Nothobranchius furzeri: one gene and its partners. The protein of the gene in region 3 purifies or fractionates together with the protein of the main gene of each other region. This does not show direct contact. Links are inferred from orthologs where the notes say so. Each region holds a gene or a part of one and is shown on either strand. Other genes may lie near its edges.

Region 1 (9,164 bases), on a different chromosome or scaffold from region 3:
CTGTGGTCTTCCACAAGGAGCAGTAATTCCGCTTGCAAAAACAAACAAGCAAAAAGCGCTTGGACAATTGATAAAGCAAGCGCAGCTCTGAGGGCATCCATGCTGTCGGCTAGTGTAAACACAGGTCGCACACGTGATGTCAGCATTTTTTTGTCACGGAAAGTGACGTTGCGGACCTTAAAACTCCGGTTTTGTCTGTCCACACGCAGACACCCAAAACGGAGAAAACGCAGATCTTCACTTTGGCCAGAGTTTTAAAAAAGATCAGTTTTCGTGTGAAAAAACTCCGTTTTCGTGTGGATGACAGGCCAAAACGTAGAAAAATATCTACGTTTTGGCAGATCCCCGGCTACGTGTGGACAGGGCCTAAGTCAGCTCATGCATCCCAGAGCATCTACCTGCTGTGGTGTATAGGCTGGAGGTGGTGGTCGAGCCTGAGCCGGGTCCTGGGAGGGGGCATCAGCATTTTGTGGAGGGTCAGAGGTCAACAAGACAGGACACTGTGGTAGAGGAGAGCTGGTGTTCTCCAGATCAGCAAGAAGGGCATCTGAAAGAAGGAAAGTGTTTAAACCGCAGTTTAGTTTGATTTGTGATTGGATTTAAAGATAACTAACCATTAGATATTGATTTTCTACATTTATAGTCACTAACAAGGACATTTATTCAAAAAACCATCTAAACGTCTGGGTGAAGCACAGGAACCAGTGAATCAGAAGCAGGGACGATGGAACATGCATCCAGTTACGTACCAAACACAACAATACGAGGACTGAGAGGGTAGTTAGGTGGCTCAGGCACACCTGAGGAGAGACAGACAGCCTGTGTGACAAATACAGCTGCAGAAAGTCAGCCCAGACACTGCAGATGACATGAAAAACAACAAGACATTATTCAGCCAGAAAGGAGAGCGGGCAGGAATCCAACTACATGCATTCATCTCTGCTTTTATATCCACTACATGGCAGAGCGTGGAGGAAACAGAGGAGGAAGAGTGTTTGGAAACTGATATCCAAACTCACTCCACCAGCCGCCCCCACACTCATTCAGAGGACCAGGAACTCAAGTGTTAGTCTCTGCAGCTGGGTGACATCTATTAGCTCTGACTCCACATGCAGCCGAGAGACAAAGCAGAGTGGGTGAACCCAAAAGCCTTTTATTTTTTGGGATCAAGAACACGATCTTATCTCATTATCACAGACACACGGTAGAGGTGGTATTGTGGTTTGTGGATCAAAGAAACTTTCCTTCTTTGACTGAAGGATAATAGATCAGGAAATGCTCAAGCAGCATCTTCTGAATTGTTTTTGAAAAAAGTGGGAAAGTGTTCATGCTGCATGCAGGACAACAACAACGAGAGCACAGAAGATTCCAGCAAATCAAACGATTCGTCAAAGTGCTGAGCTTCAGCCAGCAAAACGGTCGTTAAAAGACATTAAATAATTATTTTATGCAAAGAAAACCCAGAGGTGAACTGTTTTTTTAATGATGAGCAACATGAATGTGTGATTACATAAACTGTTATACAATACTTTAAAAACAAAAATGTAATACCACAGGTCCGTTTTAAGCAGATGTTCCAAAAAAATTCTAAGCCAGATAAGATATTTTAAATTAATGTTCAGAATTAGACTAAATAATTATTATTTCTGCACCTTTAAAAGTCTAGATTACATCTCCATCACATGTATTAGTTATGCAGCCACAGATTTTTCTTTCCAATGTGACCTACATTTAAAGGGATCCCAGGCATGTCGTTTGTAAAAAGACTTTCGTCAGCAGAAGGGACGAGCTTGTCTAAAGTCTGCAGGCGTCCACGTTTATTTGGTGCCTTTCTGTTTTCTTCAGATGAAGTAAAACATTTATACGTGAATTTGTTCTACGGCACTTCTGCCGAGCCAAATAAAACAACCGTCTGACAGACCACAGGAGAACAATCGTTAGGAAGTTGTCAATAGTAGTCAGGTAAAGGTGAAATAAGAAAAGTCCTTTGAAGATTGTAACAACTTTTATAAGGTGTTTCACGCCCTTGTACGTTAAATAAATGAGACTACACTGCAGAGCTTTACGTTTCTACATCTGGTTTTAACACCAAACCAATCACTTCATCTGAGTTTTTTTTCATCTACAGCTGTCTAATTTTAAATGAAAACAAAGAAGAGACCAAATTTACACCTTGAAAACGGCAGGAACAACATCTCATTTGAAATAATTGATCTGATGACCGCACATCGATCCTTTGCTGTGAGACGGAACAGCAGATATTTACATTTCAGTTTCTCTCCTCAAGCTTGGGCCTGAAAACTGCACTCCCGATTCTTTTTCAAAGCCCTGCTTCTCTGATTCGGTCTGATGTTATGAAGTAACTTTAACCAACCACACTTTCTCTCCTGTGGAGATGGTTTTCTAATTCATGTCAAGAGACGGAACTGAATCCAAGCAGTCTTCCACGAGCTCTGCGGTCATCTCTTCTCCTGATGATTCACACTTGTGGTACGACCCTGTGTTGAGAGTCTACAACGGCATGCCCTCCTGTCTGCTGTGTCTCCGTGTCTTAAACACACACACACACACACACACACACACACACACACACACACACACACACACACACACACACACACACACACACACACGGACTGCACATATAAGGAGCTGAACGTCTCTTAATAGCAATCATGACCATATTTAGAGCTGCCTGCTAAATTGTTTGTCTTGGCCAAAAGAGCCTCTCTAACAAGTGGCCTCGCTCACTGAAAAGCTTCAAACTTTCTGCTCAACAACAGCACAAATCTATGGGGCACTGACTGTAAAAGCAATACGTTAAAAAATGAACAGTAATAGTTCTCAAAATGCATCTTCAAATTCAAAGTTCAATCTGAATAGTCAGAATAAGATCTGAATAAGTAGAATTTAATCTAAATATTTTACGTTTAATTCAGAATCAAATGTTATTGTATGAATCTAAATAAAAATTTTGAAAACTACATTTTAATTTGTGGGTTTTCACCTTTATATAAACTAACATGCAAATTCAGACAAGTAACAAAACAAGTTAACCTGAAAACAAACAACAACAACAACAAAAACAAGGTGTGGCGACCCTAGCCTCCTTTAGAAAACAATGCCGTCAATTAGCCGCAACGCCATGCTGGCATCAAGGAGCCTTCCGTCATTTATAAGTGGTCTGACTGTGGTGGTAATGTGGCACAATTGTGTCCTTTTTACAACACATAAAGTGATGGCGGTATAAAGGGGGTATGGGGCGGTCTCTGTGCTGCCACGGACTTCAGTTTATCTTGGACATAACTTACTTTTGATTGCGACTGAAGCCATGATCCTTACATTTTTTTACCAAGCCACTCCCAAGAAAGGCTGTCCTCCACAGTCCCTGTGCAGTCTCTGGTGAGTTGAGCTCTAGCTTTAACGGAGAGAAGCTCCTGGAGCTCCACATCACTCCAGTTTATCAACTCAGCTGATTCTGTTTACAAGAGCAAAACTTAGGGCCAGAGCTCGGCAGTAACTCCCCACCTGATCATGACACCTCTAAGGCGTAATATGCATTCACAAGTCCTGCGTTCTGGTAATATTACTACCAAACGTGGTGGCATAACGCCATGCTGCCACCGCGCATTCATACGACACACCGTGGCGGCAATAATACGCTGATTTGTGTTACTTCTAAAAGGGTTAAACTGTTAAACAGATCGTTAAACTGTGTGGGTCTATTTCTCAGTTTCCATGGGAAACTCATACAGGAACATTGACAAATAATTCATGGGTTTATGAATTCAGTCTAATCACAGCATGACATCTTTTCACCCGCTCTTATTTTGGTACATTTTCGTCTGAACTTACATACTGGCCTATTAATCCTTAAAAACGACTACTTTTATAACTTTTTTCATTTCAACCTGCAGCTTTAAACGTTTACTCCTAAATAAACATTTTAAATTTATGTTGCAGGCTGAAATATTAATTATTAACATAATTCATAATTAAGAGGATTTTTACTTTTAACTTGGACCCCATACAACCCAGTCACCAAACTCCTTGCTATTCAATCCAGATGTGCCCAGATGTGGTCGGCCAAATCTTGCCATTTGTCCTTGTATTCCTTTCTGTTCTGAACTGGACTTTATAAATATGAAAAGAGAGAAAATGACTGGGCAGCAGAGTAAAAAGTCTTCCATTTTCCTTGAACTCTGTGGTTTTTCTCAAATAGCAGCGTTTGCTTTGGGCTATTTCAGGGCCTTTCTAACACGGCCACGGTAACACAGAAAGATTCAGCTTCTCGTTTTTTCCCTTTTCTGTATTAATTAGAGGAAAAATCCATACTGACAATAAACAGTATGTATCTAGGAATTGTTTTTGATGAAGATAATTAATTTGCAACGCGTTGGATTTGCAGGCTGTGCGTGAATAAAACTCAGTGGTGGTCAGTCAGATGTACAGTAATAAATGTGTGTGCGTGTGTGTGTGTGTGTGTGTGTGTGTGTGTGGGGGGGGGGGGGGCGTCCAATTTCTGCACAAATAACAATAAAACCCCAAACAAGCAGGCTGATGGATCTGCATGCTGTGTGAACTCCTGTTATTGAATGAAACTACTCTTTATTCCTGATTTTCCTTTGTGCTGATCTCTGAGGAACAACCGGGAGCAACAGAGCCCGTTTCCTCCTGTTGGGGCGCACCGCCCCTTCCCACTGATCCCTTCAGATATCCCGACATGTCGTCCCGCAGATGGAGCGAAGAACAGATGTTTTACTCACCCAGATCCTCCATGATGGGATCACAGCAGACGGATTTCCTCTCTCGGACCTGAAGAGGAAAGCATCAATGAGCGCTGGGGTCCGGGCGGACAGACAGACAGGCTTTCGTCGGCGTCGCTCCTCAATAACTTCTTGGACACCGTTATCCGCCAAGACGAGGGGGAGGAGGAGGAGGAGGTTTCTTTTTCCCAACTCTCTTCCTGTGTAATGCCTACCAGGACTTCAGACCGGAGAGGGCGTAGTTATGTGGTTACAACCCCGCATCCCCCCCTGACGCACGACGTCACGGTGGACATTCCTGCTCCATATTTGGGAGAGAAAATTAAGGATTCGGAGGATGTGAGTTCAGCAGAGAGACCGCTGCTGCAGCGATGATGGATTAGTGGAGTTGAGCAAGTATTAAAACATTTAGAGTCCTTCACGGGACGGTCCAGAGGGAGGCGGATTTAAGAGACATAGGGCTTGGGATCACGTGATGATGCGTTGCATTCTGGATAACAAGAGGATAACTTTTATTTTAAATCTGTTACGTTTGAGTATTATTCTCAATATAAACAGTGAGGGCTGAGATAAAAAAAATCAAATATTGATAGATTTTACTAAACTAGAGAATTATTTAATGGGTGAGACCAGGTGTGTACCACAGGGTGGGTGTTTAGGACGGTGTACACTCACCATTCTTCATTAGTACTGGTTGGGACCCTATTTTGCCCCAGAAATCTCAATTCTTTAACTCATGGATCCAACAAGGAGTTGGCAACATTAGTCAGAGGTTCTGGTGGTTCAGACTGACGTGACATCATCACACAGCCACATCCATATGAGAATCCACCACATCCCAAAGATTCTGGACTGGACTGAGATCTGGTGACTGTGGAGGTCTTTGAAGTTCAGGGAACTCATCGCTGTAGAAATCAGGAGAGATGATCTGAGGTTTGTGACACAGAGAATTGTCCTGCTGAAAGTAGCATCAGAAGATGGGTCCATGTGGTCACAAAGGGGTGGACATGGGCAGCAACAATACTCAGGTAGGCTGTGGGGTTTAAACTAGGCTCAGGTGTCTCACACACACACACACTGCAGGAGCGTTAAATGAGCTGTGAGGCTAGGCATATGAAGTAAACAGGGGTATTCCAAATCCGGCACATTTTAATTTCAACCCTGCTTCAACACACCTGATTTAAATCAGCAGATGATTGGCAGGCTTCTGCAGAGCCTGATGAGCTGCTGCACAGGTGTTTCGACCACCGAATGAAGTGTGCTGGAGCAGAGAAACCACTGAAACAAGCTGGATACTGGCCCTCCAGGTCCAGAATTGAATACCTCTGAAATACACCAAAATAACTCTCAAAGTTATGTGATGCAGATTTAATGCCCTTGGGCTGAAAAAAAAATGAGTCGATGGAATTTGATACCAATCCTAAATTTAGTGACACGTGTTGGCGGGTTAAGATGAATATTTAGCCAAAGTTGCTTTACCTGTTCCAAACACATCTCTGTACAAATTAATTACTGGATTTAATATGCAGGGGAAAAGACCAAGGTTACAGTATCCAACTCTGCAGTTGACCAACAGGAGGTCTGTTATCCACAATTTAGGACTTGAGTTTGTTGGCGCAAAGAAATAGATGTTTGTATGTCAAGAGATTCCCTAATTCAGGCAAGTTTGGATCTTGAGATGGTGCGTTCATGACCTCAACCAGTAAATTAAATGTGTGCTACAAATCTGAATAGCGCAAGGCGAGACACAGCACAATACTGTTTTGTTTAGGACACCTTTAGTAAATACTCTGTATCAGTTAAGCAAGAGTAATTTATTTAGCTGCAGTATTATACCTAAAACTCTATTTTCAGGAGCAATATATATATATATATGTATGTATGTATGTATACACACACACACACACACACACACACACACACAAGATGGTTTCAGTAATTTTAGCAGAAAATGTGTGTCCCTGTTGTGGTCCAAAGACATTGTTCTGCAGACATGGTTGGACATGGTTATTTGCTGCTGTTATGTTTCTGTAATCTAGAGCCAGCTTGTCCTGACCTCTTACTTCAGATATCAACAATATATTGCCTTCCACCCAACTCAACCCTTCTCTGTTACCATAGAGATGGATATTTGTACAAATCCTATCATAAAGTAACTTACATTCGATTTCCTCTTCATTCTGGTGCATCAGACATCTGAATGGAGCATGTACTGTGAGTTGTACGTAGCTCTAACAAGTATAGCGCCCCCTAGTGGCATGACGAGGATTCAAGTCTGTAAACAGATGGGGATGTCATTCTCTCAACAAATACATTTCCTTTAGGTTCTTCTAGATCAGTTCTCAACGTGGGGTCCGTGACCCCCTGATGGGGACCCACATGGGGTTGTTAGGTTAGATTGTATTTGTAAAAATTACATATATGAAATCCAATGACACCCCCAATAATGTGTTTAAAAATCTGTATAACAGCTACAACTCTGTGTGTGTAAAGTTTGTAATGAATCTTTTTAACTGTGGGTAGGAGCTGGGGGTCCTGGCTCGTCTTGGACAGGAAATGGGTTCCTCATGAAAAAAGGTTGGGAACCACCGTTCTAATGTTGACTCCTGAATATTCAATGCGGTTCCTATCTTGCTGCTTCGTGTTCAAATAGTATGTTTTCCCCTTAGCTGTAATTATTTATTGGATGCTTATAAAACACCATTGTTATGTTTATGCAGAACTTTCATTCCCTCATCCTTAAAACGACATGGCAGCACCTGTAAACAGGAGTTTATGGCTTCACTTTTCATCTGCTGAATAATTCAGAATCACTCAGGCTGACTTAGAAACAGCTGAAAACTTCTTATGAATAAAAAAACCACCATTTGCAGAAGAGACTCTTGGAAATAAACAAATGATCACGAACGCTTTAAAAGAAGGCTACTGGACATCTCTGATCTCGAAGATGTTTCGTCTCTCATCCAAAAAGATTCAGTGCTGAAACATGGGTTAGAAGTATCAGGACCAGAGAGGGAGGAAGCCACAAAGCCACCTCAAATGTTCAAAGTTGGATTTCATCTCTCACAAAGCAGCCTTGATTCGTCTTCCCCCTCCACAGAAACTCACACCTAGACACTCATGTGACCACGACGTTTGAATTGTCAGTGTTAAAAACACAAACAGGAATAAAGGTTAGGCCCAGAGACTCGTCTCACCTCGGTATCTCAGTGGGATTTAATTTCTGATTTCAACTTCAAAGGCTGATACCTCAGCTCCTGTTTCAGCACTGGACAAGCATTTTGGACAAGAGGCTAAATGTGTTCTAGATAAAAAAGACATATGTCTATTTGTCTTCCTTTATATGCCTCAAGGACACCAACGTATTTACAATTTAAAGGTGTGGTTGCCTGAAAAACTCTCATTTCTCATTATAATCTGTCACTGAGTCTTCCACAGCTATCTCCTGTGTTAACTTCTGCAAAATGCTTGGATCTGAAAAATCCTCACACTGTGATGTCACACTGTGAATTTGCATTAATGGTCTCATCTTGGCTTGCACCCGCTCACAGAAAGGCTGTTAAAAAAATTAGCAGCGAGGAGACAGCGGGGAGTGTCTTGCTGATAGTGGCCGTGTTCGAGATAAGCCAGTTCTGCGCAGATTCGATCACCGGTTATCGGCGCGCCATGCATGCCGGTTAGCTTTGTGTCCGACTTGAAGTCGACTTGCTCTGATGTCATGCATACGTAGGCAACGATAACCTCGTGAGATCAAGGCGGCCGCAGATTTTGGAGCAAGGCGCAGCAGTTGCTCTCCACCGGCTGCAAAACCTAGGGGATGACGGGAAACGCCTGGCTCTCACCCGATCTGATTGGTTCACATTCTGATCCAAACATCCGCTGGTAGAACATGAAACGTTAGTTGGTCACATGTATTCTGTAAATCATGTTACGTTGATGACAATATAGGCCATAAAGAGAAATGTGATATTTTCTCACGTTTCCTATAAGCACACTAAACCTACAGCTGATAACCTTTTTACTTACTATTTTAGTCATATCCCCATATACAATATATGATATCCACAATCACATGAGGATGTGTTTCGGTTGCTAACAGGCACCAGTATGAACCCCAACGCGATATCTTCATCCATTGTCACCCGTGAGCTACACATGTATGGAAATCTGTTCGGCTTAAATGCCGACTTTCAGCCACTCCCCCTGCTGCGTCCGTCTGCTCTCGTCTGTTTTCCAGGCGAGGCGCTGCTCAACTCAAACAAGCCCAGTGACTCTGCAACATGGCTGAACACATTCTGTTAGCCAATCAGAAGCTATGTGTGTGCAGAGCACTAATAATGCTGTTTTCAGCCCACATCTGCATCTCAGAACAGCAGCATCATAGCTTGTTTTTTAACG
Region 2 (7,397 bases), on a different chromosome or scaffold from region 3:
TGGAGAGGCCCAACTCGTCCCCGCTGAGAGGAACCGACCCGACGGGTCCCGGATCATCAGGAATACTCCGGAGCCGAGGTACAGACGTCTGTTTCAGCCGCCGCTGAATCGCTGCTCTACGAGTCCCTCAGGGTCCACCAGGAAACGTGTCCTTGGTAAAGTCCAGTTTCACTCCGAGTCGGACAGAACAATGATCTCATCCGGGTCGCACTGAGTCGCCACGTTGACCTGGAGACGCAGAGTCAGCACAACCTTTAGAATGACCTGTGATGTCACCGTTTCATCGCTGCTGTTTAACCCTCCCACTGTCCTAAGGGGAGGTCCACGTGGCAGGGATGAGGTGGTGCTCTCTCCTCACCCCTGCCACGTGGACCCAAGGGATAAACCATCAACCGTGCTCCAAGGTCAACTTTCCTGGCGGGGTCACATCCATTAGGACAGTGGGAGGGTTAAATCCGTAAATAAATTAGGATTATTATGAAATAACAATCATTAATTATCTAATTTAACGGTTTCTGCACCTTGTTTTTCTTTGGGGGCGGGGTCAGCTGGGGGCTGCAGATCAGCTGAGAGGGTGTGGAGGCGTCCTGAGGAGAGCTGCAGCTAATGACGCCCATGTCCAGAGGGATGTCGGCGTCGCTGAGGAAGAGGAGGAAGCACGTTAATAAAGAGAGTAAAGGTGTGTGTGTGTGTGTGTGTGTGCTGGGGATAGCGTGGGCTCTCAGCTGTCTCTCCCGAGTCACGCAGCCTCGCTCTCATGCTGACATCGAATAAAACAAACGTGTTCCTCCAGCGGAAGCCTCTCCTCTGAGCAGGAGTCGGAGCGGCGGAGGCTACGGGAGTTAGTGACCAGAAACGAGGGTCAAACCTACGATCCTCTGGGACTGAACACCTCCCGCTGGCGCCGTTCCAACGCACCGATTTGGTTTTACTCAACGCAACATTCCTCAGTGATTAAAGATTCGATCGAATTCACAAAAACTTTCAATGTTGATTTCAGGAGAATTTAAGGAAAAAAGATGTTTAAAATCTTCAGGTTTAAACAAACGTGTAATCTGATTACTGTAGCTGCCCAACATCCTGCTACGTATGTACTACCACACACACACATGTGCATGTGTGTGTGTGTATGTGTGTGGGTGCTTGCATGTGCATGTATGTGTGTGTATGTGTGTGAGTAGGTGTGTGTGCGTGTGAGGGTGCATGTGTGTGTGTGTGCATGCGCATGTGTATGGATGTGTATATGCGTGTGAGGGTGCATGTGTGTGTATGTGTGTATATGTTTGTGTGTGTGTGTGTGTGTGTGCATGCGTGTGCATGTGTGTGTGTGTATGTGTGTGGGTGCATGCATGTGCATGTATGTGTGTGTGTATGTGTGTGAGTGCGTGTGTGTGCGTGTGAGGGTGCATGTGTGTGTGTGTGTGTGTGTGTATGTTTGTGAGTTTGTGTGCGTGTGTGTATGTGTGTGTGCATGTGTGTGTGTGTGGGTGCATGCACGTGCATGTGTGTGTGTGGGTGCATGCACGTGCATGTGTGTGTGTGTGTGGGTGCATGCACGTGCATGTGTGTGTGTGTGTGTGAGTGCGTGTGTGTGCATGTGAGGGTGCATGCACGTGCATGTGTGTGTGTGTGTATGTGTGTGAGTTTGTGTGTGTGTGTGTGTGTGTGTGTGTGTGTGTGTGTGAGCGCTCCACTCACCTGTCGTAACTGATTTTTAGTCTCAGGTTTCTGGGAGTCTCGGCCATGTTTTCCTCTCGTTTCCTCTTCTGGCTCCTCGTGGTTCTGGGGCTGGGGGGCGGAGACTCGCTGGTCTTCGGTGTTCCTCGCTCAGGTGAAGGATCCCCGTTAACGGCTGCTGGGACGGCCAACTTCTTATTATTCACCTGGTTTTCTTTTATGATCACCACCGACAGCTGATTCGACGCGGCGAGCTTCTTTAAGTTTGCTGTTGTCCCGTTGGACAACGTCTGCCGAGTGTCCGACTGAACGAGCTCTGATTGGCCGGGGCTGTCTCTGGGAGACGGGACGCTGGACATCTGTGTTTCCTCAGAGACGGGACTTTCGCTGGTGAGCGGCTCCATCTCAGCCCTCGGGCTTCCATCGCCGCCTGCTGGAGCACTTCCTGTCTGCTCGTACGTCTGATCCTCCTTGTCGTCCTCGCATGACTGACCTGCCTCGTTAGCATTCTCCTCCTCTTCCTCCTCCTCATCGTCATCTAAAGGAAACATCAGTAAAGTTAAGATTAAAATAAAAACAAACCAGTTTGTGCTGGTTGGACTGGAGCTTCTTACTGGTGTCAGAACTTCTAATTTTGATGATTTAATCTTTAAACCGAGCTAATCTGGATTAACGACACCGGGTCGTGACCTCTCCACGGGTCAGCAGATTATAATCTCCCGTTTGGAACTGTTATGGAAAAATTCATGTCTATTAATTCTTGATCATGGACTCAACCAACTGAATGTAAATGTATCGCTCTGTGCCTCTCTGCATGCCCACTCGTCCAGAACTCACACACACACACACACACACACACACACACACACACACACACACACACACACACATTGATAAATCCATGACAGGAACCGAGTCGAGTTTACATCAAATCTGAGAAATCTCACAAACAGTTTTAATCCCAGATTTAATCTGACCTGCGGCAGCCTGCTGAGTGCTGGCCTGGATCTCCTCCTCTATGTCAGGGTCTGATGATTCATCCTCCTCCTCGTCCTCCTCCTCCTCCTCCACGCCGTTCGCCTGACTCGTCTGTTTTCCTTCTTCTGGTTTCTGATCATGGAAGTAAAAGAAGTAGAGTCGGAGCGCAGATGTTAACTCCTGGAACTGTTTTGATGCTTCCTGTTTTATCCTCGGATAAAAAGGTATATAAAACAGCATTCCGGACCAGCAGGAAGGGAACATTCCGCCTCGCTGATGCGCCGGGATTTTTCCTTCACCTCTTTCTCTTTCCCGTTTTTCTCCAGTCTCCGGATTCTCTCCTGCTCCTCTGTGTCGTCCTGTTTCACGGCGTACTTTTTGATGACATCATCCAGACGAGACAAAGCCACTTCCCTGTTGGACCGTAGCTTCTTCAGCAGAGACAGGTCGGACAGAGCCGGGTCGTCAGCTTCCACCGGAGGAGGAGAGATGAGAGGATTAGGCACAAACATGGATGAATGAATGAAAGTATTCAGCGTGAACGCGGAGCTGGAGCCTCACCGGGCTTGTAGGCGTCGGTGAGACGCGAGCCGAAGTTGTAGACGAGGTCGAGGTGTCTCCGCTCCTGCAGGAGGCTGCCCGTGTCCCTGAAGGCCTCCTGGGCGATCTGACTCACCTGTTTCCGGTTCAAACACAGGTTGTGGCGCTCGTTGACGCGCACCACCAGCTGCCGGATGTCGTGATAATCCGGAGGGTTGCTACGAGCCTCGGGACTGTTGATGAAGCGCTCGATCTGACAGGAAGCAGGAACACATCCTACGTAAACGCTAATCCACCCGCTGGAATGACACCGAAAGAGAAGAACTCACCTTCCGGTTGATCTCAGGGAAGCGAGTCGTGTTGAACTTGATCTTCTGCTCGATCACTCGCCCCGTCAGCGTGTTGCAGCCCTTCAGCTCACACAGCTTCTCGTAAATCTTCATCATCTGGAAACAGACGTTAAAAAAAAAAAAGTCACCCGTCGTCCCACCGGAGATGCAACGTTCCGGGTTTAATCTGCCGCTCAGCCGACCTTCCGCTTGAGTTTGTGCTCCTGGATGTACGTGGAGTCTTCCGTCTCCATGTCGTCTAAAGTCAGCTCGGCCTGCTGCAGCCGGCTGATCTCATCGTTGTACGACTTCAGCAGGTTCTCCAGGTGTGCGATCTGGAAATCAGAGCGAGTAAAACCATAAGGGGGGGGGGTTCTGCTGAAAGGAAATCAGCTTTTCGGCTCATTTTACTGCAAATAAGTGAGAAAAAGTTCAAACAAGCAGGATTAAAGCCTTCAGAGATAAACACTCACCTGTTTCCTTAACGCTCTCTTAGCCTTCCGCTGCGCTTCTTCACTCTCCTCCTTGACCTCCTGACCTCCTGACGTCGAGGCTCGTTCTGCGGCTGGTTTCCCCTCCTCCTCCTCCTCCACTTTAGTTTTACTCTGGAGTGAATCGGGAGCAGACCGGGTGGCACCCGACGTCGATGCAGAAGGCTCCGCCTGGCTGAGGGCCGGCCTCTTCTTGACGCTGTGCTGCTTGAGCACGGTGCACAGTTCATTAATGTAGACGAATGTTTTGGAGCTGTTGGCCTGAGCGCGGGTCAGACATCGTCCCAGCGTGTTCCTGAACTCCACGGAGGACAGGAACTCAGCGCTGGCCTTGGCGTGCTTGGTCTGGAGGAAGGTTAAGACCTCTGGGCAGTCCTTAGTGAGAGACGTGCAGTGCTCCAAAAACTGGAGAAAAGGCAGAAAGGAACCTGATGAAGCGTTTGGTGAATCTGGTTTTGTTAGAGAATAAAACTATATACATATATATATATATATATACATATATATATATATATATATATATATATATATATATATATATACATATATATATATATATATATATATATATATATATATATATATATAAACTCACCACACTGAACAGCTTCTGGTTCTCTGCCTGCAGAGCGTTTACGCTCTTCCTGTTGGAAGCAAAAGGAGAGTGGACGATGTGTGTGGGAGCCTGCTGCTGACGGCGGGCTGGAGAGACGTTACTGGTTTGTCGCTTGGAGGAGGAGGAGGTGGCAGAGGAACACGCAGGTTCATCATCTTCAAGCACAATGATCTGATCTGCCAATGAGGCAGGAGCCACCGCCATCCCAAGTTCAGCTTGTTTCTGTTTATAAAACCCAAACGAGATGAAGGAGATCAGCAGAGCGGCGAGTTTATCATCGATAACGGTTAGGAAGTGACAGAGTTCTCTGTAAACCTCTAGAGTTGTATGGAGGTCGTTTGTTAATATCTCTGGTGATTTAAACCCTTTTAGCATATTTAAGAGAACGTGTGACGTTTCGGCTGTTTATATTCAACGCTGGTCCGCTTCCTTGCTTGGTGCAGCTCTCTTTAGGGTGCAAAACAAAAGTGTAGTTCTGAGACCCGATGAAGGAGGTGGCCTCAAAAGGTTGCAGCTTTGAGGCCCACACCCTCCTGTTATCAGACTTGCATTGCATTCTGGGATGTGAGTGAAAACGTAAACAACAACAACAGCTGCAGCATCTCACAACAAGCCACATATAGAGGATCTACTTCACTCGTGTTGATCAGAAGACTGGATTTGTCAGCTCTGACTCAGAAAATGTTCAAATTATTTATAAACAGATAAATAAAATATATTTATGTAATTGTGTAAATAAGGTTTGCTGAAGGTTTTTTGGTTTATAAACAGACTTCAGACTAAAGAGCAGATAAAACATCTCAGAACTTTTACAAGGTTTTTAATTCAGTAAAATAACGATTATTTGTTGTCGTCTTCCTCCGCTTATCCGGGTCGCGAGGGCAGCATCCCAACTAGGGAGCTCCAGACCGTCCTCTCTCCAGCCGCCTCCACCAGCTCCTCTGGCAGGACCCCAAGGCGTTCCCGGACCAGATTAGAGATGTAAACTCTCCAACGTGTCCTGGGTCGACCCGGGGGTCTCCTGCCAGCAGGACGTGCCTGAAACACCTCCCCAGGGAGGCGTCCAGGAGACATCCTGACCAGATGCCCAAGCCACCTCAGCTGGCTCCTTTCGATCCGGAGGAGCAGCGGTTCTACTCCGAGTCCCTCCCGAATGTCCGAGCTCCTCACCCTATCTCTAAGGCTGAGCCCGGCCACCCTACGGAGGAAACTCATTTCGGCCGCTTGTATCCGTGATCTCGTTCTTTCGGTCATTACCCAAAGCTCATGACCATAGGTGAGGATTGGGACGTAGATCGACCGGTAAATCGAGAGCCTGGCTTTCTGGCTCAGCTCCCTCTTCACCACGACAGATCGGCTCAGCGTCCGCATCACTGCAGATGCCGAACCAATCCGCCTGTCGATCTCCCGATCCCTCCTACCCTCACTCGTGAACAAGACCCCGAGATACTTAAACTCCTCCACTTGAGGTAGGACCTCTCCCCCGACCCGGAGTTGGCAAGCCACCCTTTCCCTATGATTATTAATAATAATATTTATATTTAGTCATAATTCAATTAATGTATCTCTAACTTCCCAGCATCTTACAGTAGTGATTTAAATATTCATAAACATTACATCAAAACAAAATACTTGTATGTCTCATAAAAGTAGATTATGTCCATTTCAGTTTCACTCTCAGGCATTTTGAAAACATTAAAATAAAATTAGACATTCCAAAGATTTCAAACGTTTGTGTGTAGAAATAATGTTGATGTCATATTTAGCCTAAATGTAGATGTTAAAACATAATCACCCTAACCCAATCATAATACATAAATGCTTTAAAGAATAATTTATTATAAAGTATTGGATTATTTGGGATTATTTTAGTAGAAACAAACATTTCTAATTAAGGACCTCTTAGGAAACGAGAATTAGCTTTTAATAACAACATTTTTCTGTGCTTTGCTTTAATAGTAAAACACTGTCGCTGTTAACTAAAACATCAAAGCACATGTTGTTAAACACGTTAACTTACATTCCCGCGAAATTATTAGCTTTAAAGGACAGAAACGAAACTGAAACGCCAGTAAACCTGAGATAATTCTGATCTTGTGTTAAAATAGATAAGAGCTACAGACAGTTGACCACAAATACCAAAAACACTTACCTCTTGTTTAAGAGCAGTTCGATGAGAAAATAAAGAACATTTGCGGGTTACAACGCAGCTGGTTAGCTGATGTTAGCATTAGCAACAAGTAATCATGTTTATTTTTATGGTTAACACGAAAATTGGTCTTAGTCTGTTTGTTTTGGATAATAAACAAAATAAACTATTGTTTAATTCTAGTTTTAACCCAATGAGGCTTCCTGTTTACTCACAAAAAGCTTCTAGACTTAGCTAAATTGTTAACTCGCGACCCGCTAAACTCCGACGCACGTAGTTGACTCTGGTTGGTCAAAAGACACGTTGGGATGAGTAAAGCCTTCTGTCATTGGACAAAAGGAATGTGTCTTTTTCTCTGGTTTATTTTCTGGTTAACTTTTTTTTTACCGCCACCTGCTGGAAACATGTATGACGATAGAGGTCTCCAAGAAGTTTGTTTTCCACGCCGAATTTCTACAAGTTAAAATAAATGCAAGCGTTTAAGTGGAATATTTCTACAAATTATAAAGCAGATGACAACAGAGACCAAAACTTGCTTTTCATGCAGAATTTCCTGCAGAATTTTAATTACATCTTTCTCATTAAATGTTTTAGTCCTGAATGTCTCAACTGAAATG
Region 3 (8,493 bases):
GAGAGTGACTGCTGGTCACAAAAAGCTTTTTACCACAGACTAAATCTCACTTAGGTTTGGAAAATTACTTTGCAATGAATACCTGACTGGCAGATTATTACAACTAATTGGATTTAGTCAGATTTCAATTTCAGCAGAATTAAATGTTAACGTCGAACATGCATGATTCTGTTCAAGAGAAGGGAATCACTTATTCTCGACCAGAAAACGGTTGTTTCTAGTCTCTAATCTTTGTTGCCAAGATTTTTTTAGGCACACGTTAAAAAAATAGTTTAGCTTAATTTATCCCAGAAGTAAATGGATTTGCAGCCAGGCAGTCCTCGTTTATTTACTACAAATCAACAAATTGTACATCCAAAAACACTCACCAGCTTCTACACCTTACTAGACTTCTTTTGTCTTCAGAACCACATTAAATCAAGGTGTTGGAAACATCTCTCAGAGGTTCTGGTACAAACTGACATGACAGCACCAGATCAGAACCTCCTGTCCCACCACATCCTAAAGGTTCTGGACTGGACTGAGATACATGGAGGCCGCTAGAGTCCAGTGAACTCACGGTCATCTTCTACAAACCCTTTAGAGATGATCTGAGCTTTGTGACATGCTGTGTTATCCTGCTGGAAGTAACTATCAGAAGATGGGTCCATGTGGTCATAAAGGGATGGACTTGGTCAGCAACAATACTCAGGCAGGCTGTAGAGTTAAAACCAGGCTCAGGTGGGACTAATGGGTCCAAAAAGGGACAAGAACATCTTCCCACCATAAGTCACCACACAGGCAGGATATGCTTAATGTTAAAGACACTAAATTCTGACCCAACCTGCTGAAATCCAGACTCATTAGTCCCACTCTGGTGATCCTGTGGGAATTTTTAGCTTCAGGTTCCTGGTTGGCGGTTTTTGCTGCTCTCCCTTTCCTCCAAGGAAGGAAAACCCAAATCCCTCTACTGCTCTAATCTCAGGTGTCGTTTCCTTCAGACGGACCATAAAACCAGCAGATGAAAGAGAACGGTTACACGATTTGTAGAATTTAGGAATAAAACAATCCTCCGGTTTATAAAATAAAGTATCAGGATATGAGTTTGAAATAAAAATGCAACAACTTGATCAACCTGGTAAGCAAATTGTAGCGTTTCATTCCAGCGTTAGCACACTGGTAGAGATGTGGTTTTACTGCATCTTAATGGAAGGACTTGGTGAAGAGGAGGGAACTGCTGTTGCCATGGAGACGGAGAACACAGCAGCAGGCTGGAAGATCATGGAGCCTGTGGAGGAAAACCCTCTGAGGAATTCAGCGAAGGTTTGTGGCAAACAGGCTGAAAACGAAGGCCGACAGTGTGTGAAACATTAACAGTGTGCAGCTTTTTCTTCAGTTAAACAAAAAATCACATTAAAAAAGACTTTTGAGTCTTTAATATATCTGTTTAATCAAGGTTTATGTGGAACAGTTTATCCCTCTGAACCCTACCACATTAATCTAATAATGCTGCTGGGGACATCAGACATATCAGTAAATAACCCCGCCCCCAGAGAAGGGAGGCACTAATTGGGAGCAGCAAGTGAGCACTAATCAGGGAAAGGGCAATTTGCAATGAGCTGCAGCGGAGGAGACGAACGCTTTCTACATCTCTGAGGACCTAGATGTAAAAAGGTTGCACTTGTAGTGCATCCAAGGGTAAAATCTGACATGTGGGTCCTTTTGGATAAAAACTGATTTCAGCTCATTTGTAAAGGATTTCTGACATCTTGAAACAATCAGAGACCCTTTGGTCTACTTTTTTTTCTAAGCAGATTATTAAACATTAAAGGGATACATTTTCATATTTGTAAATGACAACTGCTAAAATGACCCTTCACAGAGTTAATGAAATGTCACTCAGACCCCCAAGAATATCGCACTTGCAACTTCAGACTGGCAGAAAAATTTAGCTGACACGCCTGGTGCTGCGGTCTGCTAACAGCATGTTTTAGATCATGAGCACAGCTGATTTGTTTAATTTAGTGATGAACCGCTCCTGTAGACACTAATAAAGGCAGGTGAGACGTTTCAGCTGTTAAATAAAGGTGTTAAAAAGACAACTACAACGAGGAGAGGTTTTGCTTTCGATTTGACCACAGATAATGAATAATGGACACTAGGGGGTGCTAAAGGCAAGCCAAAACTGACAAGTGTGCCTTTACATCTGATCAATCTAGACAAGGCCTATTCAATTCCGAGCTTCGAGGGCTGGTATCCAGCATGTTTGAGTGGTTTCTCTGGTCCAACAGACTTGATTCAGTGGTTGAATCACCTGTGCAGCCGCTCATCAGGCTCTGCAGAAGCCTGTTAATCACTTATTAAAATCAGGTGTGTTAAAGCAGAATTAAAACCAAAACGTGCTGGAAACCGGCCCTCAAGCCCCAAATTGGATAGCCCTGATCTGGATAAATACATAATAGTTGAGAACTCATTTAGCAGTGACACTGAAACCACATGTCCCAGAATGCACTGGGGCCCTCAGCTGCTGCATGTGAGGTCTCCAGGAAGGACTGAAACCAGTTTAGTTACCAGTAGGTCTGTAAAACATGCACAAAGGTGTGTTTTAAACATTTCCTAATCCACAATTTTTGTGCGTGACACTGGTGGGAAATGGATCTTCTGCTGCTTTTTAGATTCCCAGATTCATCCACAAAACTCCAACAGGTGCTATTACTACCTTCTCAACCTTTTGAAATAATCATAGTTTGTGTTTTCCTTTGTTTTTTGTTTTTTTTTTAAACGGATGACCAGAACCCAGTTTTGTAAAACTATTCTGTTTGTTAAATTTGCCTGACGTGAGCCGGCTAGAGACCATAAGAGCCAGATATGTGAGCAGGTAACAGACCAGCATGCACTGGGGCGGGTCTGGTGTGATACATCAATAAACCACTTTCAGACTTCTGTTGCCTTTATGCACATGAATATTTATGTCCTTGAATAGAAAATGAATCACCATGGTGACACGTAATCAGTGTTTTCTCAGTTTGAGTGACTTTAACGTTTTTTGCTAGTGAACGCCTCCCCGCTCATGAGATCAGCAGACCAGGACCCAGCTGCTCTTCACATGAAGCACTTTTCTAGCTTTGGTTCCTGGATTGATGGGGTTGGCATGAATAATTCAGGCCTGCATTAAAGTGGAGGGAAACTGTGACTCATGGAGGAGGAAACGCTGAGTGTCCTTGTCCAGAGTCAGTAGCATTCAGGAACTGTGTGCTTATAACGTAATGGTCAGCTAATAGACATCTGCTTTGGCTGCCAGAGTTAAATCTGAAATCAATCCAACTATAGCTGACCTATTAGTCACTACAGGCCAAAAGCCGTGGAAGAACATTCCGCCGGTTTGTCTGCCGGCTCCCTGTGACCACACAGCACGCTGGAAGCTCAGGACATGGTGTCTATATATATAGATTTCCCCCTGCAGCTTTGGGGTCAGGAGCAGAGTTGGTCTGTGTATTTCCGGACAGACGTGCAACACGAAAGCCTGAAGGATGATGCTATGGAAGGAGAGAAAGAAGTGATGGAAACAGGTTCCATCCTACAGATGATCAGCTGGTGCAGAACAACATGAAAATAACCAGCATGGCTGGCTTCTTTCCGGCAGCTGAGCATCATTGACTGTTGTCAGTTCAGTTTAAGCCACGCCCACTTTACATGCACTAATGGGACGTTTAGTAAAATCCAATTGATCATTTGACTGAGTTCATTTATTTAGTTGTTAGCTGGCTGCATGTTATTTTATTAGATTTTGCTTAAAAAGCAAACAACAATTATGTGCAGGTAAGTAAACAGGACTTTCGTGATGCGCTTTTTGCATGGATGACCAAAAGATATAATTTAGCCACATAAATTCATTCTCAGACGTAGCTCAACTACACAGACCCATGTTGGTGTCACATCATGAAAAAAAAGACAAAAGAATATTTTTTGTTAATTTTATTTCCAAAAGCAGCTCAGTGACAAACAGGTACCTGAGGACACACGATTTTAATAATGACCACTGAGAAGCAACATCAACATTTACTTCAAATGAAAAAGCTAATTAAAAAGTAATAAAAAAAACCACAACAAGATTCATCTCCTCGAAGACGTTTGTGGATTAAAACAAAAAGCATGCATGCGTGTGCGTTGATGGCATCAGGGTGTATAGCGCTGCTATCTACTTCTGGGTCACGGCGGGTTTCTTCTCCACGGTGACGGGGATCGTGGTTTCGGTCGACTCGATGGCCATCAGAGGAGCCTCCACGGTCAGAATCCCCTCAGGGGAGAGAGAGGAGGTCACCTTCTCGAAAGTAGCGGTAGGAGGGAGGCTGGAGGAGGGGGGAGGAGACAGTGTTACACATTGTTGTAGTAGCAGAGGTGTGGCCACTAGGTGGCAGCAGACTTGTGGAGTTGAATAAACCAGATATGACTGACTAGGTGGCTGATAAGGCATTTCAGAACTCCAAACTTCAGCTTCAGATATACAGAATACATTTGACTGCATGCATTTTGCACAAACCTGCAGATTTTGAAAAAATAAAATAAAAGCTTACGTGTATTTCCTGGTGAAGCTCCTAGAAATGAAGCCGTGTTCATCCTTCCTCTCCTCGTGCTTTCCTGTGGAAACAACAGAAATTATTAAAAAAATAATTAATAAACAGCTAGTGATGTCATTCATCTCTTGTGCCATTCCGTGAGACTGAATCACACGCTTTGTTTATCTCTGTGCTCAGACCAGGTCCAGTCAACTGGACCGGATCCAGCAGTCCTTTTAAAGCTGCAGACACTGGGGAGTCACAGCAAACTGGAAGAACTGGGATCACGAGGGCGAGTCCGAGAGGGAGGAGGCCTCACATGCCACCAGTAAAAATGTAAACAAAAAGTAAAACTAAGCTGCTTCACAGGTATCTGTTGGCTTCTAGCCAGAATCCCACTCCCACCCATGTGAGGAAGAGGGGGAGGGGTCCTTTTCATCTGGAGACAATGACCTCAGTTAACCTGGATCCTGAATAAAAGATCCTGAATGTTTGCAGGTTACTTAAACACCTAGAGAAGAGAGAAAACTCACCAGAGATCTCCACAACACCATCCTTCATCTTCACCACCAGCTCCTCAGGTGAGAAGTGGTTGACGTCAAGGGACACCTTCCAGCTGTCCTGCGTCTGCTTGATCTCTGACACGCCACTGCCCATCTGCCTGGACAGGGCACGAGCCTGCTGGGCCAACATCTGTCCCGGGTACATGTGGCTGTGGGGCATCATGATGTCAGTGCCCAGGATGGAGGGCCTCAGGTAGCCGGGCCAGCGGGAGCTGGGGAACGTGGGAAAGTCCTCCAGCAGGGCCGGCATGCCGAAGATCTGGTCAAAGATCCGGCTGCTGTGGTGCCAGTCCCGGAGCGGATCCCAGCTGGGAGTGCGGGCCAGGGTGAAGGGAATATTTCTCTCAGCCATGCTTGCTGTGGTCGGGCAGAAGAAGTCTTCTCAAGTCTTTCAGAAAATGTTCTTCCAAGTTGATGCCTGACTCACATGCTGCAGAGCTTTTATACACGCTGGTCCCACCCCCCTAACGCCCTGCCCCCAGACCCACAAGCCCCCAACATGCCTACGGAAAGATCTAGAATCTATTTGTGTCTGTTGCAGCACGTGGAGGGCGGGTCTTGGTAACAGCTGCCCAGTGCAAACGTAAGAGCTCCCACCCCCACCCCTCCCATTCTGATCAGATCTGACTAGAAGCAACTGGAGGAAACCTGAAGAGCCGATGTGATCACAACATGCTGGGATACGATGCAAAAAGTAACACATAATACTCACCTGGGTTAACCCTCTGGAGGCAGGCATTGCAGGTTTGCAACAGTTACCTACCTGGTTACTCCACATATGTGTTTCATGAGCATTGTTTAACTCAGAGGTCGTCCTTCTATCAAAACTCATTTTGACCCAAACTGGGTTAAAAACTCCCAAGTTTCTTAGTGGATGACAGGAAACTGTTTAGTTTCATCAAAGTAGGAAAAAGTGAGCTAAAAACCAGACATGAAAACATCATTTTGGTTGCATTCGTTTCTCAGGGTCGTGGTTTTGCTCTAGTTTTAATACAGATGCACATTTACACACACAACGGTCTAGAAAGATGCGTCCAATAGAAAACATTTAGCAGAGTGTTGTAGAAACACCTGGAAGATGGGTTTAGGGTAAGCAAAGGGAGCATTTACACGTACGTGTTAGATCCTGCCTGGGAGACACTTTCAACTGTGAATCAATTCAACCCCTTCTTTTCGGGCTATCTACGCCAAAATACTAACTGTATTTTGATATCAAACTGGATTAAAAACATAGAAGACGTTCATTTTAGACCAAATGCATCTCAGTTTTAAACAAAATGCTGCTGGGTGTTGTCTTTGAGCAACCCTCTGGAGGCAGGCGTTGCAGATTTGCAACACTACTAAAACCTACCTACCTGGTTACTCCACATACACGTTTCATAAGCATTTTTAACTCAGAAGTATTCAGATATTTAGCTGGAAAAAAAAGAAAGAAAAACCAACAATTCCACCATTTTTCAACATGAGATGATTTTGTTTGAACATCTAGAATGAAAATGATCTAACTAATATAAACCCTTTCATGCATAAAGTTCAAAAACTTCTGAAAAGATTTTTAAAGAAAAACAAATGTTAACGTTCAAAATTTACATTTTTTAAAGAGCCACACATTTTCTTACATTATTATTATAGTATGTTATTAATGAAAACACTAGAGTCTAATGTGGTTGTATAAATAAAAGTTTACCATCAACATTCATATAAGCAAAAAACAGCTTTTAAATGGTGAAAATGAAGTTTTTTTTAAATCAGTAAACAAGGTTGTTTTTGCAGGAAAGACAGTAACAATTTAAATTGGAGCCAGTTTTTCTGTTTTGCATTAAAGGCCCTTTCTGGGAACGACCTCCAGGTGGTCAAACGGGCAATGCAGGAATTCATTTTCAAATGCAAACAACCGGAGCTTTCAGGTGGATGATCCACTCTGCATCTGAGAGACGCCAAACAGCAGGCAGCAGGGAAACTTCCATGCATGGATTAGGGTGAAAGGTCATTTGAGGATAAAGGGTCTGCAGGAAGGAAGGAAGGGGGGAGGGGTTGCTGCAAAGAACCTTTTTCTAGAAGATTCTTAAGCACAGTGCAGTGTTTTCCACGTGGTTCATTTTTGAACAGTTTTGTCACTTCCTGTTCAGAAAAGAGATATTTGAAAAACTTGCTTTTCAACGGTTTGAGGAAAATGCAAAGATGTTTATCTACTTTGATTAAATACATCCCAAATCAGCCTGAGAGGAAGTAAATGTGCTTTTATCCACATGGTAGTAGAATTAGACCATGATGCAAAGTTTCAGCTCCTTATCTGTAAAATTCACTGGTTTTTAAACGTTTTTGCTACTGTTGAGTTTCCCCAGTTCAATATAGAAGTATAGGAAATTGTTTAAGACTCTTATTTAAAATTTGTCCAGTTTCTATTTCACAAAGCTCTTGTCTGATCTGTTCACCCTTTAGTTCTGTGGCGCCAGATGGAGATCCATGCAGCAGATTTGACTGCGTTTGAGTCATTTTGTTGTGTACTGGCTGTGGCGGCCATATTTAGTCTGGTTAATCATACGAACGTGAATTCTGTAGGTTTCATTAAAATCCCTGTAGTCGTTTATGATAGTTTTCTAACAGACAAAAAAAATCAGATCAGTTGTAGAGGAGTCCCTAAAAAACAAGAATGCAGATTGGAGGTTGTTCTCTGCATTCTTGTTTTTTAGGGTGTGATTATGTGGGGTGCCATTTGTAAAGTCAAACAGTTTATAAACTTAACAGCAATATTTTGGATTATTTAGCCCATCAAAAAAACGGGAGTTCATTTACAAAAGTCACATTTTCACCATGTTATTCATACATTTATAAATGCTAAAGTTCTCAGCTAAATATCTTATTTACTAACCAAATATTTGATTTGGAGCTACATATTAAGTTTACAAATTAAATATTTAGCTCCAAATGATTTTTTTTTTCCAAAAAATTTTTAGGTCCCAGCTAAATATTTATTTTTGACTAAATTTAAATATTGATTTAGCAAATAAAAGTAGCTGGAATCTAAATATATATTTTTGAAGTTTAACATTTAAATATTTTTCAAATTAAATATTTAGTTAGTTAAGTAAATATCTAGTTTACAAGCAAAATTTTTAGGTCTGACCTAAATATTTAGCCTGTAAAATAAATATTTATCTCTAAATTAAATACTTAGCTCATGGTGGGCAAAATAACCCAGAATACTGCTATTAAATTATGACCTTTTGATGATGCGCAAACCTGCTTTGACTGGTTTTGTTTACCTGCTGGAAGACCAGAAACTTTTCTGAGTGGTCAGCAGGAGATTCGTTATCTTATTCATTATTCATGGAGGTCGACGTAAACTTGCGAGATCTGACTTCATTAACACCAAAATACACTGTTGTTCAGAT

The links.
Region 1: the proteins of hspb1 (region 3) and transforming growth factor beta-1-induced transcript 1 protein purify together in Homo sapiens (affinity purification with western blotting; 3 studies listed by BioGRID). This does not show direct contact. The link is inferred for Nothobranchius furzeri from reciprocal best matches to the Homo sapiens genes HSPB1 and TGFB1I1.
Region 2: the proteins of hspb1 (region 3) and daxx purify together in Homo sapiens (affinity purification with western blotting; 3 studies listed by BioGRID and IntAct, with this or other methods). This does not show direct contact. The link is inferred for Nothobranchius furzeri from reciprocal best matches to the Homo sapiens genes HSPB1 and DAXX.

The regions. Positions count from the first base shown.
Region 1 is NC_091756.1:34,930,723-34,939,886, forward strand, and holds the start of transforming growth factor beta-1-induced transcript 1 protein, read right to left. Parts: upstream 4,912-9,164; 5' UTR 4,780-4,911; coding exon 4,767-4,779; intron 801-4,766; coding exon 750-800; intron 548-749; coding exon 399-547; intron 1-398. UniProt on the Homo sapiens protein: Functions as a molecular adapter coordinating multiple protein-protein interactions at the focal adhesion complex and in the nucleus. Links various intracellular signaling modules to plasma membrane receptors and regulates the Wnt and TGFB signaling pathways.
Region 2 is NC_091759.1:22,798,421-22,805,817, reverse strand, and holds the start of daxx (death domain-associated protein 6), read right to left. Parts: upstream 6,924-7,397; 5' UTR 6,784-6,923; intron 4,854-6,783; 5' UTR 4,836-4,853; coding exon 4,611-4,835; intron 4,421-4,610; coding exon 3,998-4,420; intron 3,860-3,997; coding exon 3,728-3,859; intron 3,642-3,727; coding exon 3,525-3,641; intron 3,449-3,524; coding exon 3,217-3,448; intron 3,125-3,216; coding exon 2,955-3,124; intron 2,788-2,954; coding exon 2,655-2,787; intron 2,216-2,654; coding exon 1,699-2,215; intron 640-1,698; coding exon 522-639; intron 229-521; coding exon 169-228; 3' UTR 1-168. UniProt on the Homo sapiens protein: Transcription corepressor known to repress transcriptional potential of several sumoylated transcription factors. Down-regulates basal and activated transcription.
Region 3 is NC_091750.1:66,230,063-66,238,555, reverse strand, and holds hspb1 (heat shock protein beta-1), read right to left. Parts: upstream 5,541-8,493; 5' UTR 5,451-5,540; coding exon 5,069-5,450; intron 4,618-5,068; coding exon 4,554-4,617; intron 4,329-4,553; coding exon 4,178-4,328; 3' UTR 3,940-4,177; downstream 1-3,939. UniProt on the Homo sapiens protein: Small heat shock protein which functions as a molecular chaperone probably maintaining denatured proteins in a folding-competent state. Plays a role in stress resistance and actin organization.